2 linked regions of the Nothobranchius furzeri genome follow. The protein of the gene in region 1 interacts with the protein of each later gene in a biochemical or structural test. Links are inferred from orthologs where the notes say so. Each region holds a gene or a part of one and is shown on either strand. Other genes may lie near its edges.

Region 1 (7,939 bases):
CTCTAAACATAAATTGCATTATATTATAATGATATAGATCTTCTAATTTCATAATCTGTGATTTTAAAAATAACGGGTCAGTATGAGCAAAATAATTGCTCTTGTTCATAACTCAAATAGATTTCTTTTGTATAGTTTTTATTTCATGTATATATGTTTTAAAAGTTGAACCCCATATTTCTATACAATATGCCATGTATGGTTGTATTAGTGAACAGTATATTAGACATGTATAAATGACACCTGTAGTTTGTCCTTTTTCCATTTGCGCTCAGCCCGACCAGCCAGGCACAGACAGGATCCAACGATCGCCGAGAGAAGCGGAGGTTAGACCCCGCTCCTTGTTTTCTAAATAAGGGCTTGTGAGAACAGCAAAAAGAAGCTTTCAGCTTCACCAGGAAGCCGGCGACCCCCGCGACGGTACTTATGCCGGAGAGGTGGATCTGGGACACGGCACAGGTGAGCCGGGATCTCCGATATTAGCGGGGGCAAAGTTTTATGTCCAGCTTGATTCCATTTCGCCCAGCTTTTGGCAGAAGGTCGGAGATCCAGTAGGGATAGGCGATCATATACCAAGAGAGAGTTGGCATTTCCTACAATAGTCAATAAAATCAAAACAAACAAACATAACACTGGTAGTGACCGATGGGCTGAACAGCATTTTTAAACAAAGATGAGGGTAAGATGTGGAGGGGGCATGCAGAGGTCTTCAGAGAGTTTACTAGTTTGGTTAACTCAGGCAAAGAAACAGGATCAAAGCTATCTAGGATGATGGGCCTGGTTGGAGTCGGGAGAGGCGGCGATAAGGCTGAGGGAGGGATACTAGATCTGACCTTATTGACTTTGTCCACAAAGAAAGACAGAAATTTTCCACAGTCTGCAACAGAGTGGGTGGAGGCTGTAGGAGAGACAATACTGCTGATGGTGTTAAACAGCACCTTGGGGTTCCCTTTGCTCTGGAAGGCCAGGTTGGAGAAATAGGCAAGCCTCACATCTCTGACTGCAGAGTTAAAGTATGTCAGAAGATCCTTTAGATGACACAGATGGACGTGGAGACAGGTTTTCTTCCACAAGTGCTCAATTTTTCTGATTTGTTGCTTCACCCCGGGTTCACACTGAAAGCACCAGCGGCGCGGAACAGCAGCGGAACGTCAGAGGGCAGAGGCCCCAGACCTGCCCGCAGCCACTTGCTCCAGGGCAGACCGAGCTCAGAACTCAGTGGTCTGGGACCCTGGGGTGCCTGTTGTCAATCAAAGTCAGATGTAAGCTGTTGTCTGTATACCAAAGAAAACTGAGTATGTGTCGTTGGCAGGCCCATGGTATCTAAGGGGACATTCCATATTTTTCTGAAACATTCCATACTTGTAGTGCATTCTTTTCTGACATGCCATATTAGGCCTGTGTCAACTAATCACATTTTCTCTTGGAACACAAGATGGCTAACACTAGAAAAGTCACTCCAAAGCAATGCCCATACCCCACAAAGTGAGAAAACGGCTCACATTATCAGAAAGGTTCTCAAGGGCTGGGGTTGGTAACCCTTCTTTTACTGGGTACTTCCTGGATGTCTGAGCTCTTTGCTTCAACGGACATGGAGACAGAAATGAAAGAGAAAGGGGGGTAGATCACAAAAATAAACAGGCGTCTCTACTGCCCCCAAGGTTTGAACCATTCTTACAGTAAGACTTTTACTATTATGTGTTTAAAGTACAATAAAAAAAACTCTGAAATGTTATTTGAAATTAAAAGAACCAGCAGAACTCTTGATAGTGAGTAAATCCGGCTGCTACGTTTGCCAGTGACATGGTACGCTCCCAGTTTGTAGCAGTTCTTTACGGGTCCATTTGTCTCACAGTTGTGTTTGACAAATTGCTCTGTGGTGTTTCTCCCAAGCCTGCCAGTCTTTGGCCCCCTAAAATACCCATCAGAGAGTTAAGCACACATGGTTTAAGTTTCAGCACCACCAATGTTAACATTATCTATGTTTTAAGAACCTCTTTAAAACCACTAACAAGCATAAACAATAAGGAAAATAATCTTCTAAACAATCCTATTATATTATTATATTATTATAATCCAATTTAGAACTCAAATGAAAAAGGCATAAGTGCAGAACTTGAGTAACCCTTTCCAATCAAGCATGATTTATTGTCTTTGGGCTAGTTTTTGAGCAACAGGCGTTCTGAATTTAAGCATTAGATGTTGGCATGCCTGACAATGAAAAATGTTCTTTCCACACAACTCTGACCTGTAAGGTCCAAACCTAAAGACAAAACATGCCATTTTCACACAGATTACCCCTTTTCAAAGCAGCCGTATGCAAACCAACTCTAAAATCAGCTGGTTCACACCTGTCGGAAAAAGTGGACTGATCATACCTAACATCATAATAATGATGATTCAACAAAAACCTGACTGGAGTGGGTTTTAGAATACCAAGTGATCGTTTATGAAGTTATTGTTATACCACAGGTAGTTTCTGAGTAAAGTTACAGCTAAGCTAAACTTGATGAGGCACATTCAAACTATGCTGTTTATGTTTTCTTAGAAAATATGTATCTGTGAAGATGATCATAACATAACAGAGATAGAAAATGTATCTTCTCCATTCTAAATTATAAGAATACCTGTGAACCCCCACCCCCTAAAAAAATCCCTAACGATTTACTGGAAATGCATGGGGCAGACCAATGCTCGTGTTTTATTTGACTACTACGGCAACTTTTAGTTTGAATCAAAAAGTTGACATGCATAATCACCAATATGGAAAATTATCTCAGGTTGATATATGACTGTTAAAGAGTATAGTTATTTTATGTATCCCATTAGCTTTCACTGGCATTTATTTCTGTTGGTGACAGATGCAGGTTGTATTATCAGTCCCTACCCTGTGCCTTGAGTTTCTCTGCTCCAACACCAGGTCCATCGGTTGAATCACCTCTTCAGCAGCTCTGTAACCTTTCAATTACTTGCTGATACAATCAGGTGAGAGAGCAGATAAACCTCAGATAAACATGGAGGCCCTCAAAACAAGAGATGACCGCCACTGTCCTAACAATCCTGATTAAAAATGGTCACTAATATTGTAGGTATAAGATTATGACCTTCAGACATTGTTTGAGGTGCATGATGGGATTACATTAAAATTTTAAATGAACGCTTTTTGCTGGTTACTGACCATATTTAGGCAACCCTAAAGTATGTTGGCAGTTGATAGTAGACGGCATGTTTCTGTGAAACACCCACGTGGGCGTACTTTGATCATGTGACTGAAGAGGCGGGGCCAAATGTTCTAGGTTCCCAGATTCCTCCCTTTGCTTTCGCTTCCTCATAGTTTTTATAAAACAAACTGAGCTCTTTAATCATCCTATTCTGCTCCAGGTCAAGTTCACACTAAAGACAGACTAAAGTTACAAGCTGAAGACCGGAACCAAAAGGGGCGCGTGAAGGTAAATACCGTAGTTTTCCGGCTACGGTCGATTTAGGCAACTGCGCAAATTAGCAAACAAGCTAACGAAGCTAGCTAACTGACACTTTAGCAAACTGTCAAAACCCAAAGTCACTATCTCGACATTACGCACCTACATCAAAGCAGCTGATGTGTTTATTTTTAGAATGCAGGCTTATTGAAATGCGTGTCCTTGAATAATATAGGCTAGTTTTTAGCTTTTGGTAACTCGAGCATCCACGTTTAAGCAAGGGTCACCAGCATAGAGAGCTACTTCATGTGTACTGAGCCACATTAAGGGCTACCAGGATTCTACAGTTCTGACATTTGAACTGGAATAGATCAGAGTTAAACCAAACTTCATTTATAATAAATATATTTTATTTATTTGGAAGGATTTGTAGTTTTAAAATCAATATTGATGCATTTGTAATTAAAAAAGAAGGCTGCAGATTTGTATTTCGTTTTAGATATTTGCCATTTAAAGAAGTGGCTTTATATTATGCCAGGAGGCACCATGGTGCAGTATCGTAAATTGTGCATGTTTGTCATACGGTTAAACACACATTAAGTTGTGACACACTCGTGATCATGGTGACTACTTTTTTTTTTTATAAAGATTGCCAACAACAGTGCAAAGATCAAAAGCTGATCCTCATCAATAAAGCATCTCAGATAAAATCATACTAGATGTTACAGTTTTAGGACTAAGCCTCCACCATGTAGTGGGCTTTCTGAGTATTTGGGTTGTGAGAACACATTTTCCATGTGCCAGTGTAGAGGTGGCAAAACTATTCCCCCCATCCTGCTTTCTTAGCTGGCGTGCTTTGATCTTGGGTCATTAGCCCGTGTACAGCATGTACTGTGACTCCTTATTACAGCAAATACTTTATCAGTGTTTGTCACTGTTGTGTATAATCTATTTAGGAATGCTGCTTTAGTGTAGATTGTATCAGGTTACGCCCTTTGCACCGCCTTTCCTGTTCCCATGCCTCACACAGAGTATCCAGCACCAGCATGTGATTATAGCCTGGCTGCCTCTCCCAAAGGCTTAGCCTGGATGCTCAAACCAGCTCCCTGTTGTTTTAATTCAAGTACATTTAGGACTTTTGACTAACCTTCAAATCTGCTTGTCTTTCTCCTCAGACTTCATACATTCAGTAGCTGTATCTATCCAGGAAGGTCCTAGTTCAATTATGTGTGATAATGAAGAAAATGAGCATCTGGAATCAGATGGTGCTATGGATTTTTCATTGCTCAACAATCGCCTGAACTCCTTCCGCCGCTCCATCCTGGCTGAGCAAGTTCCAGCTGAACGACTGGCACGAGCAGGCTTCTACTTCACCGGCAACGCAGACCGCGTCCGCTGTTTCAGCTGCAAGAAGACTGTGGAGAACTGGACCAGCGATGACACGCCTGTGGAGCGGCACAAGGAGGTAGATCATGGATTCAAAGTGTTGAACGATTGTGACTTTTTGTTCTGCTTTAGAGGTTTAAATAATGATCTCTCTTCCTGGTACAGGTTTCTCCAACGTGCTTGTTTCTCAAATGCTGCCACCGAACCAGTTTCAACCCGAGCTTTCATAACCCGCTCACTAATGGCTACAACGAGGCTGCAGAACACATGGAGTATCGTTTGTTAACTGGAGCCGTGACTGACGACACCATGTACCCTAAAGCCCCTCAGATGGCGTCTGAGGAAGCCCGCCTTCAGACCTTTTCCTCGTGGCCCGTTGATTCTCTTATGAGACCCAGAGACCTGGCACAAGCTGGTTTCTTTTATTTGATGAATGCTGACCGAGTGCGGTGTTTCTGTTGTGGTGGCGAGCTGAGTGACTGGGAACCAGAAGACAATGCTTGGAGTGAACATTCCAAACATTATCCAAACTGCTTCTTCATACTTGGGCATGATGTGGGGAATGTGCCGCTTCAGGAGAGCAGTTCTCAGGTCTCCATGGAGAGTTTTGAGGGGAGACTTGGCAGCTTTGCTGGTCTCCAGCTCCCTGTTGACCACAAGAGTCTCGCCACGGCGGGCTTCTACAGCTTAGGTACAGCGCCATCGTCATCTGTGGACAAAACTCATACAAAAATGAGTCACTGTTATATCGTTGTTCTGATTTTGTTTTGACACATCTGATTTGTGCTTACAGGAATGGGAGATAGGGTGATGTGTTTCAGTTGTGGTGGGAGTTTGAAAGGTTGGCAGCCTGGGGAAGACCCCTGGGAACAACACGCCAAATACTACCCAGGGTTAGAGGAAACATCTGTCTTTTCTTGGCAATAAAAATTCATTATGGAGACATTTTTATTTATGCTGCTGTAACTTTCTTCCCCATTAGATGCAGCTTCTTGTTGGCAGAAAAAGGAGTAGAATTTGTCAACAGCATCCAACTAAATGGACCCAAACAAAGTAGAGCTGTAAGCAATCTCCTTCTTTTTTTCTTGCTATTGTGATTATATGACAAACCATAGCTTGTAACTTTACCTGTCAATCTGATTCCCAAGTCCCTTTATTTATAAAAAATAAACAATGAAAAGGTTTGAATCAGCTGGAATTGTGTTTTAAATCATTTTACTTGTATTTGGTGTGTTTTAGTGAACTTTATGGAACATAAGGAACCAAATGTACTTCTCTTTAGGTCTCGGAAAATGACTGTGATGCCCTGAATCATTAGTAAATTTGGTTTGTTCAAGCTGGAAAATAATAACCTGTTTTTGCTTCCAGGTCTCAAATCCTCAGAATGGGCTTTTGGGCGCTGAAAATGGTAAATATATATTTTGATACAGTGTCTCTTATTATAAAATACAAAAAAAAAGCTTTATTAAGCTGTTTTTATCTAAATATATCAAACCAGGCTAGTGTAACTGGATACAGGTTTTTGTGTAACAGAAAATCCTCGCCGCCTGTTTTGCGAAAAAAAATTGGGCACCTTCTTTTCAGCTAAACAACTCCATTAATCTTTGCTGGAGCAACTAGGGTCTTATAGCGTCCCTTAAATGAAAACTTTTGGCTCGTTTTTAGCCCCCCCTAGAGTCCGTTATAAAACCACAGTCTTAAAACCAAAAGTGAAACTTATCTCCTCACTGCGTTTGTTTTTTTTAACACCTTAATCCAAGTACACCTTGCTGCAGCAGCAGAAAGGGGCGGCGTCGGGCCAGTGGTCAGGCACATATGAACTACAACTGTTACAATTGTTAATACTCTGTTCTATGTTCAAATTAGGCAAAATAAAAATAATTTACTACAGGACAAGGTCTGAATTTATATCCCAAAATGAAAAGGTTCCTTACAGCGAATGTCTGCCCATGGCCGCTCCAAGCATTGTTTTGTATTATCTATGGTAGTCCAGTGGTGTTACTGGTTGACTTTTGTTTTGTTTCGCCCTCTGCTGACGCTGGTTCGACTCTGGGTGGTGTTGGCAGTCATTTATTTAGCCAGCTGAAACACATTTATTTCATTTATTTGTATTTTTTTTTTCTGCAAACTATTTTATGTCTCTAAAGATCTTTGAATTTGATCGTTTCTGAGCAGCATTTTAGTTGATACTCTGCTCACACGTTGGGCATCGAGGATCGATTGGAACCGGTACCAACCGTGAGTTTTTCCCGGAATCGTTCAAAGTTTTTTATTTCGATGACTAGAATGCCGACCGGAAGAGGAATCCGCGGCCGATCTCCGTGAGAAATAAACGTGATCTGCAGATTCTGATCAACGCTTTTCTGAGCTGATCACACCAGCTGTCTGTGTGCAGCACCGAGCATGCTTTTTTTCCCTCCATAACACGTTTGTGTCTAAACGAAGGCGATGTTATTGTTCATAGAATTAAAATTCATGTTGAAGTTAGGATTATTTCATCAAGTAGGACCTGTGGTTAGCTGGCTCATGTACAGTGCTGGGAAAGTTACTTTTAAAAAGTAATTAGTTATAGTTATTAATTATTTCGTCAAAAAAGTAACTCAGTTACGAGATTATAAATGTAACTAATTACTAAGAAAAATAACAACGTTACTTTTTGCATTAAAGAATGCAAGAAAAATGGGTTAGTTGAACTTACTTAATTTACTGTAAATGACTACAATAGTGAAATATAAATGACTAATGACTGGAACATAATAAAATGTATGTCTAAATGATTTTTATAAACCTGAATAATTTAAATAAATAAGCACTTAACAGGAGGAACTACTAATAGGAACATTACATTTATCTAGACTATTAAAAGGTCTCTGTGTGATATTTAACAAGACCCCAATCAGCTAAAATTTATAATTGCAAATAGAAACACCTGTAAAGGTTCCTGAGCCTTTAAATGGTCTCTCAGTCTAGTTAAATAACAGAAATAAATGTAATTTTGCACAGTATTCTAATTTTTCCAGCTTCACATCTATTAATGGTTAAATAAATAAATAAAATCCTTTAAAATGACACTAGAAGAGGCACAAGCCTGATGGAGGACTTAAATTTACTAACTTTGGTCAGACCCAACCACA
Region 2 (7,815 bases), on another chromosome or scaffold:
TACACACACGCGCGCGCACACACACACACACACACACACACACACACAAAAGACTCAATCCTGAGTTTTTACTGTGAAGAAGCAACATCTTAATCCCTCCCTCTGAGCCATCTGCTTAGGGATGAACTTTAAAGTCACATGCTAAAAAATGATGAGAAACAAATAAAAACAGTGTGACTCAGCTGCAGATCGTACGTTGAATACACTCACTCTGTATCGAGACTTGTAAATCAGGTCATTTGTTTATGCAAAGCTAAGGACAGAGCAGGGATTTTAAGGTGAAGCCAAAAAACACCATATGCTTGTCTCGGCCGCATGGAGTGAAGCTCAAACCATTTCTGGGTTTATTCTGTGTAAATGACACAAAACTTTCAGCTGAGGACATTTTGCAACAAAATGCAATGCATAATGTGTGCAAAATAAAGTCACATATCTTCAACAGCATGTGTCCTGTGGCCTCGGTGCTGTTAATTTTCTTTTCTTTTAATTATAAATGCAGTTTTATGTCATCACCTGACTCTTTAACACTCTGACATTAGTGCCTGTTGCTGGTGAAACCACCTCCCAACCTGTCCTTAGGGAATGCTGCAGATATGAAATGTGGGATGATGTAGATTTCACTGATAAATTGACAGCTATTACTACAGGCGAATGTCTGTGGGAGGGATGATTCAGACCTGAGGCATCAGCTGTCACTCACAGAGCTGACCTCCTCATTCATCAGCTGGACAGCCAAGGGGCCGAAGGCTTTCCTAGCTGTGGGATCTTGAGAGCCTTTATGGTAATGCCCAGTCTGCAGCCGTCGCTGCGTTTTAGAACAAAGAAATGCACATTTCCTGAATCTGCTTTGGAGAGACCTGTTGGCTCAAATCCATATCTGGTCACTGAAACACTCTGGAGGTTGCAGGGTGAAGCCCAGCTGGTAGGAGCCCCTGATAGGCCTGACTTTGATTGCAATGTCTACTACTGGGATGGTGTAATTATCCAAGTCTGATGGGCCATTTGAACTGGTTTGGCCTAAAAGCTGCTGACAGACCAATCCGTTCAACTTAAGAAGTTCTGAGCCTGCATAAGAAGGGAATGCTGCCCCATCACCATCTCTGATAGCAGGCTGTCAGCTGGAACAGATATTCCCCTTTAAACCCACTTATCCCATCTGAGTGACTCAATCCAACCGTGCAAACTTCCACCTACAATCCTGTCCTGTTTTAATTGAGCGCCCATAGTTTATTATTATTATTATTTTAACGAAAAATCCTGACAGGCTAAGGAAGAAGCTATGCGGACTTACGTGAAAACGAAGAATAAAGTGGTGGATCCCACCAGGAGTGTGGCAGCAGTGGACACCGGGATGTATTTGGTGGGTTTAAATCTTTTTCCAGCGCTGTTGGGCATTCTGTATTCTCCACATTCCTCAATTATTTATTATTCCGGTTGCAGGCGCATGCAGGGAAAGAAACGTCCGATCAATGTGCTGTAAAAAAAAAAAAGAAATGTATTAAAAGAAAACGGACGTCTATGTGTGGCTACGAACCGGGCACAGCCAGTCCGCCTCTGCTATCTCTGGAGCCGCATAGGTCCAAGACGCGAGGAGGCACGAACTCACTGGAAAGCCTCGAAATCCCTCCCTCTCTCCGGAACCAGAACCAGCCCACTGTTGAGGTCACCCAGCCGCCCCGAAAGGTGGAGCCAAGCCTCGAAGGCTGGATGCAGCCAGAAAATACAACATTTTAACAGCAGAATGCCTCTAAATGTTCTCATCTATCAATATGTGAGAGGTCTGCTCTGATTTGATGATGAGTGACACCAAACATTAGCTGGAATACGAAGGTTTTATGGTGCTTCGCTGCTCTCTAAGTATTCACAGAAAGATTTAAAAAACGTTTTGTTAAAGGAGAATTTCATCTCTTCAATTCGGCATAGTTGTTTTTTCCCAATCCTCAGTCCAAATGCAGATAAGGCAGTACAGTCGGGCAAGCAAATGTGTCATATAATAGTCATGCGGCCTCTTAAACGCAAAGGTTCCACCTTCCTCACTCATGTGAAGCTTCTGCTTTTGGACCCCGCCCCTCTCACCCTTGTCACTAGACTAAAATCTTATTACAAATTTCAATATGCTGCAAAACTATGTTAATGCATACACATTTATGAACAAAAACACCAACAGAAAATGATTGTAATTTCGTTTTTTCCCCTCAGAGAAATTTCTGATTACTTTCTTGGATGGTATGGCACTTTTACTTACTTCTGCTTTATGATCTTGTGTCTTGCGACGTTTAGAATGCTAGAAGTGAGGTGACAATATATGCTACAACGGTCTGCCTTACAACTATGAAGCTCCTAAAAGTAACAACCAGACAAACGTTTCAGCACTTCCTACAGAAAATTTCAATTACAAATCGGAGTAGCAGAAGCTCGTATGTTTAAGCTGCTGGATAATGATGTGAAATCGCTGAGGCTCACCAGAGAACCATTGTAGGTCAATGTGTGGCTTTAGCACCCTCGTGCGGCGGAGAGTAAATTCTAAAAGCACATGAATGATGTTTTGACCCAAATTGGCCACCGTAGTGTTTGTAGGCGTTCGCCTTTATTAGCTTACTCTTTCCTTACTGGCTTCTGTTTTTGATTTTAGATCTTTAAACGGCGTTCATTAGCTAACTGTGCTGCAGATACGTGGTTTTGTTTACGCTGTTAGAATTAGAATTAACAACCAGACGCCCTTTAGCAACAGAAAGGCGCCTTGTTTTAGGGGGAACAGCTTCACGCGTCTTATTTACAGCAGACGGGTTAAGCTCTGCTAATTAGCTAGCATAAGTTTCGCTTTCTCGGCTGCGAACAAGATGTCGTTCAGGAAAACATTTAAACTTATTTGTGGCTTCGCCGGCGGCTCGGCAGTCTTGGTGTTCGCTGCTAATGCAGCCGAATCTCGCGGATATTTGGGTGAGCGGCGCGGAGAGGGGCTGGCCAGTCGGTGGTCGAGGTTGACCGTCCTTCATGCAGCGCAGCCGGCGGCTTGGACAACTGTCACCCCGATTCCGAGTGGACATTCCTGGGACTTCAACTGGGACAAGTATGTTATGTTGTTGTGTCAGCACGGTCGTTTATGTTGTTGCTTTTATTACACACACATCATTGCATGTGCAGAATCAGTGGTTATCAGGATTTCAGAGGAAAATCCAGATAATAAAACATCCTCAGAAATAAAACTAGAGCCGGTAAATACTTATCAACTGTCTGACGGGAGCTGATTTAAATGATCAGTGGGTAAAATGCAGTTTTGTCAGAAAGATTTGGGAGATTTTCTTCAAAGTGACTCAGCTCATGGTCTTAAGTCACTGTTGGATTAACCCAGCTTTTGGTTCCTTAAATTAAACCACCTCTAATCTGAAAATAACCTGTCCTGTTTAGGAGAGAGCCATCCACGCTGTCCAATGGGAGGAAGAAGGAGAGCGTGACTGAAGACCCCAGCTCCGAGCAGGACAACAGCAAACCAAAAGCCACACGCCACATTTTCCTCATCAGACACTCTCAGTACAACCTGAGCGGAAGCAGCGACAAGGATAGGATCCTCACACCTTTGGGTACTTAACTTCAGGCAGACGGTATTCTTTGGAATGTTTAGTTTCTGAGGGATCTGTGTCCTCTCTCCCAGGCCGTGAGCAGGCTGATCTGACAGGTCAAAGGTTAGCAGCATTGGGTTTAAAGTATGACGTACTGATCCACTCCAGCATGGCCAGAGCTACTGAAACTGCACATATTATCAGCAAACACCTTCCAGGTAGTAAAGAAAGTCATTATAGTAAACAAGATTAGATGCAAATCTATATATATGTTTGTTTGTTTTCTTTAACCTATATGTTATTTGATTGCAGGAGTGGAGCTGGTGAGCTGTGACCTGCTTAGAGAGGGTGCACCAATCGAACCAGTTCCTGCAGTCACTCACTGGAAGCCCGATGCTGTGGTGAGAGAAGCTACACCAACGCTGGGCCCAAAACACAGCAGCTGGCTGGATTTTGTTTATTTTTTTTGTATTTGCATGTCAAGTTTGTGCAGCTCCTAAACTCAGCTGGTTTCATCCAATAATCAATGTGCTGGCACAGGAGTGAGTCACAGGATGAGTGACTTTCCCTCTGTAAAGCTCATTCATTTAGTGTGGGATCTTTTTACATACTTTGTGAGAATTTGAAGTGTTAATTTAAATTATGCTAAAAATTAGTTTTAGTGATTAGGCATTTGCAAACCAAGCATGGCTGCCCAAAGGGAAAAAAAAACCAGAGCAAAGCTTATCTAAGGTCTAGATCATTTAGGTCTTTAAAAGGGATCATCTGAAAGTTTCAGTGGTACTGTCTGTGTAGCTGGCCTCACGTTGGAATGAAACTCTTCATTCATTCCCTTCATGTTCTGACTGAGAGGCTCCAACAGAACCCTTTTCATGTGACAAAGACAGCTTTCAACCTCTCTGCCGTCCTCCAGCAGTACCATGAAGATGGAGCTCGAATTGAGGCAGCCTTCCGCCGCTACATCCACCGGGCTGACCCCAAGCAGAAGGAGGACAGCTATGAGATCATCGTGTGTCATGCCAATGTCATCCGTTATTTTGTCTGCAGGTTTGTGCCGGCAGAGGCTCAGCTCAGGTCCGAGCTTCAGCCTCGTTGCTCTTTGCTTTTGCGAATCTCTCTTCCTGTTAGAATGTGTTTATTATATATTGTCATGCACAACATTCCCCATCATCACTCAACATTTGTCAAAGTTTAATCAAATGTTTTCACACTAGTCTAAAGGTAGTGAGCAGGATCTAGAGCCTTCTAAATAATTTAAAACACTGCATTGAACACATCGGTTTATAAAGCAGATCTGCAGCACTATTTCTTGTTTTCTTTGTACTCAGGGCGCTCCAGTTCCCCCCAGAGGGTTGGTTACGGATGGGTTTGCACAACGGCAGCATCACCTGGCTCACCATTCGCCCGAGTGGCCGGGTGGGCCTCAGGACTATGGGCGATGCAGGATTTATGCCCCCGGACAAACTAACACGAACCTGATGGGTCAGCGCACCACGGGTTTTCTCTGCAGGGTTGACCCTCAGTTTCCTCTCCAAGTGTCTTGAAATAAACTTTTGATTCTTTTATATTGAATAACAGATTTGCCATGTTGTCGGACTGTGTGGTGCTTTTGTTGCGATTACTTGGCTGCCATCACCAACAGGAGTTACAAGCAACTCCTTCTGAATGTAACCTGGTTTTTGTACATAAGTAGGATTTTTTTAAAGCCAATAAAGGTCTATATGTACAGCTGTTAACATAGTTACTGCTGTTTACATCTTACATTTCACTGAAGGGGGCATCATTTGTTGTAATAGTGGTAAATAAATTAAAAAATGTGAAACTTTCTGGTTGTGCCTTACTTAATCAGACAAAAGCACATGTACAGTGTGAGTAATGCAGTGATTTATTGAGTCATTCAAAGCAAATCTGGTCAAGACGTACAGGGAGAACTCACCATGAGTTTTATTTTTAATAAAAGCACAGATTAGCTGAAAGCACAAGAAGCAGGTTTTTAAGTTTTTTAGGTGCGTTTTTGCAAAGTTCCACACTCACAAACATTCAGACCGGTGGCTGATCTCCTGCCATCCAGATAAAGGTTTAGTTCACACAAAATACATTCAAAACAGGTTTCTTTCAGCTTTAGTGGCCACTTGAATACTCAACATAACTGTCTGTTGCTCTAAAAGCAGTAAAAATGCATCCCAGCAGAACAGTTTAGATACAGGTTTGAATTACTTCACATTAGACTCGGTGGTTTTTAAAAATCTGCCACGTGAGTTTCCTGTAAAACCAACTTCAGCTGAGAGAATTTCAATAAAAGCCGTTAAAATCCCCCAATTAAGTCAAATTATATTGTTGTAAAAAGGATATAAAACTGGACATTAACACAGCACAACGCAGCTCATAAGGCAGTTTTTGTGGAGCTGACAAGGTATTCTCACATGTGGATTCCTTTAGGTTTGCCGCCCTCTAGTGATCACAGATAAAACACTTATGCAGCTTTGAGGTGGTCTTCAGGCTGATTTGGGATCAGCACACACGACTGACCTTTGAGTCACCATTTACACACAGGAGAGGTTTCTGACTGACTAAAACAAAATGGCACTGTTTAAGGCCGCCATCATAGCAAAAATAAATCGTTGAGACATCCAGGTACTACCAAGAAATGTGGAAAAAAGATATGCATTTATTAGATTAAAATAAAAACATGGAAGATCTCTCGTTTTGTTTTTCATACATCTTATGTACGAGTTAAAGTGTGTCTGATCCATCACTTCAGAACATTAAGGCAATTCCTGAACTGAGGAACAACACAGGAAATGGCAGTTGGGTTTAACCTCATTAATAAAAACATTTAAATTTGTGCTACTGACCAACATACAAAAAATAAGTTTTTAAATATTAATATTTGACTTGTTTTAGTATTTTTAACATCTTCTGTGACAAAATCCTGATGATTCTATTTTTGTGACCTAACTCTGGGAAGTGTGGTCCTCCAAAACCGTGACTCAGGCTGTCATACAAGTGTGTCGCCGTCGCCACAAACACTTTCAGCAAATCAACATAGTCCACACCCATACAGTACATGTAGTATCAAGTTTTTTTCCTTCTTTTTTTTTTAAAGTCTTGAGCTGACATCACAGCCTAAGGTGATGAGAATTCCTGTTATACATAGAAGAAGTACCACTTGTGCATATTCCTGTTAGGTTTGTGGTTGCTGAGCTCTGCTGCGGTCATCCTGGAGCAGCTGGGGTTGTTGTGTGTGTGTGTGTGTGTGTGTGTGTGTGGGGGGGGGGGGGGGGGGGGGCAGTTAGAGCAGTGGCTCGTTCAAGTGTCTGAGGCGGATGCGTTGGATGTAGCCAACGCTGGCGGGGCTGTAACGGCTGGGGCTGAAGTCTGGAGAGGCAGCGTGGCGGACGGGACTGAAGCGACCGGTGGGGGACATCAAGCCGCCGATGGGAGAGCCGGGGGTCTGATGCTGCATCCTGAGTCGTGGTTTCACCGCCGGGCTGGGCCAGCTTCACAACACACCCCAACATTAATGGTCAATTCTTTAGAAGTGCTTTGATATAACTATTTATGCAACACGTACACAACAATAACAGGCCGAATTTTCAGATCTAATCCTAATATTTATCAGACTACAATCTGATTTCATCACAGTCAAGTTGATCATACCAGTCATGGTGTTACAGAGCCCTTCAGTGTATGGGCCAATTACAACTCACCATTCCTGCATGACTACATTTATGAAAAATTCATAAAATTCTAAAAGAGCATAAAAACCGTGTTACATAAACAATTTACTTCTTTATTTTGAGAACAATATTACACAGCTCTGTTAAAATTAGCTGATAATTAGGGGAACAACATTATTTTATTGATTTTTTATTTAGGTCAGTCTTCACAAATCAGAGGCTGAATGGCACAAACGTCCTTAAAGCCTCAGGAAAAGTAGTTCCATATCATGCCACTTTAAATCTCTGAGAGCCGAGGTAGGCACAGTCTATGATAAAATATTACTGTTGGCACTTTTGAGATGTCATTTGATCTTAAACATGAGTTTTGTCTGTCAGCCTGAATTTATACCCTGAAATAAAATGCTTTGCTTGAGTGAAACTCTGCCCACAGACACTAACTAAACGTGCTACAACAGCGCCTTAGCTGCGGGTCAGTTGCTGTATTGACTATGGTAGTCCAGTGGTTAAGGCGACTGTCTGAGCACACTTTCCACTGGACTACCAAGTCTGACACCAGTCGCCTAAGCCACATG

Evidence for each region. The genes of interacting proteins can lie anywhere in the genome.
Region 2: the proteins of xiap (region 1) and pgam5 form a complex in vitro, tested with the Homo sapiens proteins (2 studies listed by BioGRID, with this or other methods). The link is inferred for Nothobranchius furzeri from reciprocal best matches to the Homo sapiens genes XIAP and PGAM5.

Annotation. Positions count from the first base shown.
Region 1 is NC_091741.1:25,547,317-25,555,255, forward strand, and holds the start of xiap (E3 ubiquitin-protein ligase XIAP), read left to right. Parts: upstream 1-3,290; 5' UTR 3,291-3,449; intron 3,450-4,594; 5' UTR 4,595-4,644; coding exon 4,645-4,884; intron 4,885-4,970; coding exon 4,971-5,496; intron 5,497-5,598; coding exon 5,599-5,698; intron 5,699-5,787; coding exon 5,788-5,866; intron 5,867-6,173; coding exon 6,174-6,213; intron 6,214-7,939.
Region 2 is NC_091757.1:31,873,851-31,881,665, forward strand, and holds pgam5 (serine/threonine-protein phosphatase PGAM5, mitochondrial), read left to right. Parts: upstream 1-2,616; 5' UTR 2,617-2,840; coding exon 2,841-3,070; intron 3,071-3,408; coding exon 3,409-3,581; intron 3,582-3,652; coding exon 3,653-3,778; intron 3,779-3,872; coding exon 3,873-3,961; intron 3,962-4,473; coding exon 4,474-4,607; intron 4,608-4,888; coding exon 4,889-5,039; 3' UTR 5,040-5,286; downstream 5,287-7,815. Other genes in the region: palmitoyltransferase ZDHHC8B, read right to left, coding at 1,292-1,395; ankle2 (ankyrin repeat and LEM domain-containing protein 2), read right to left, coding at 6,853-7,060. UniProt on the Homo sapiens protein: Mitochondrial serine/threonine phosphatase that dephosphorylates various substrates and thus plays a role in different biological processes including cellular senescence or mitophagy. Modulates cellular senescence by regulating mitochondrial dynamics.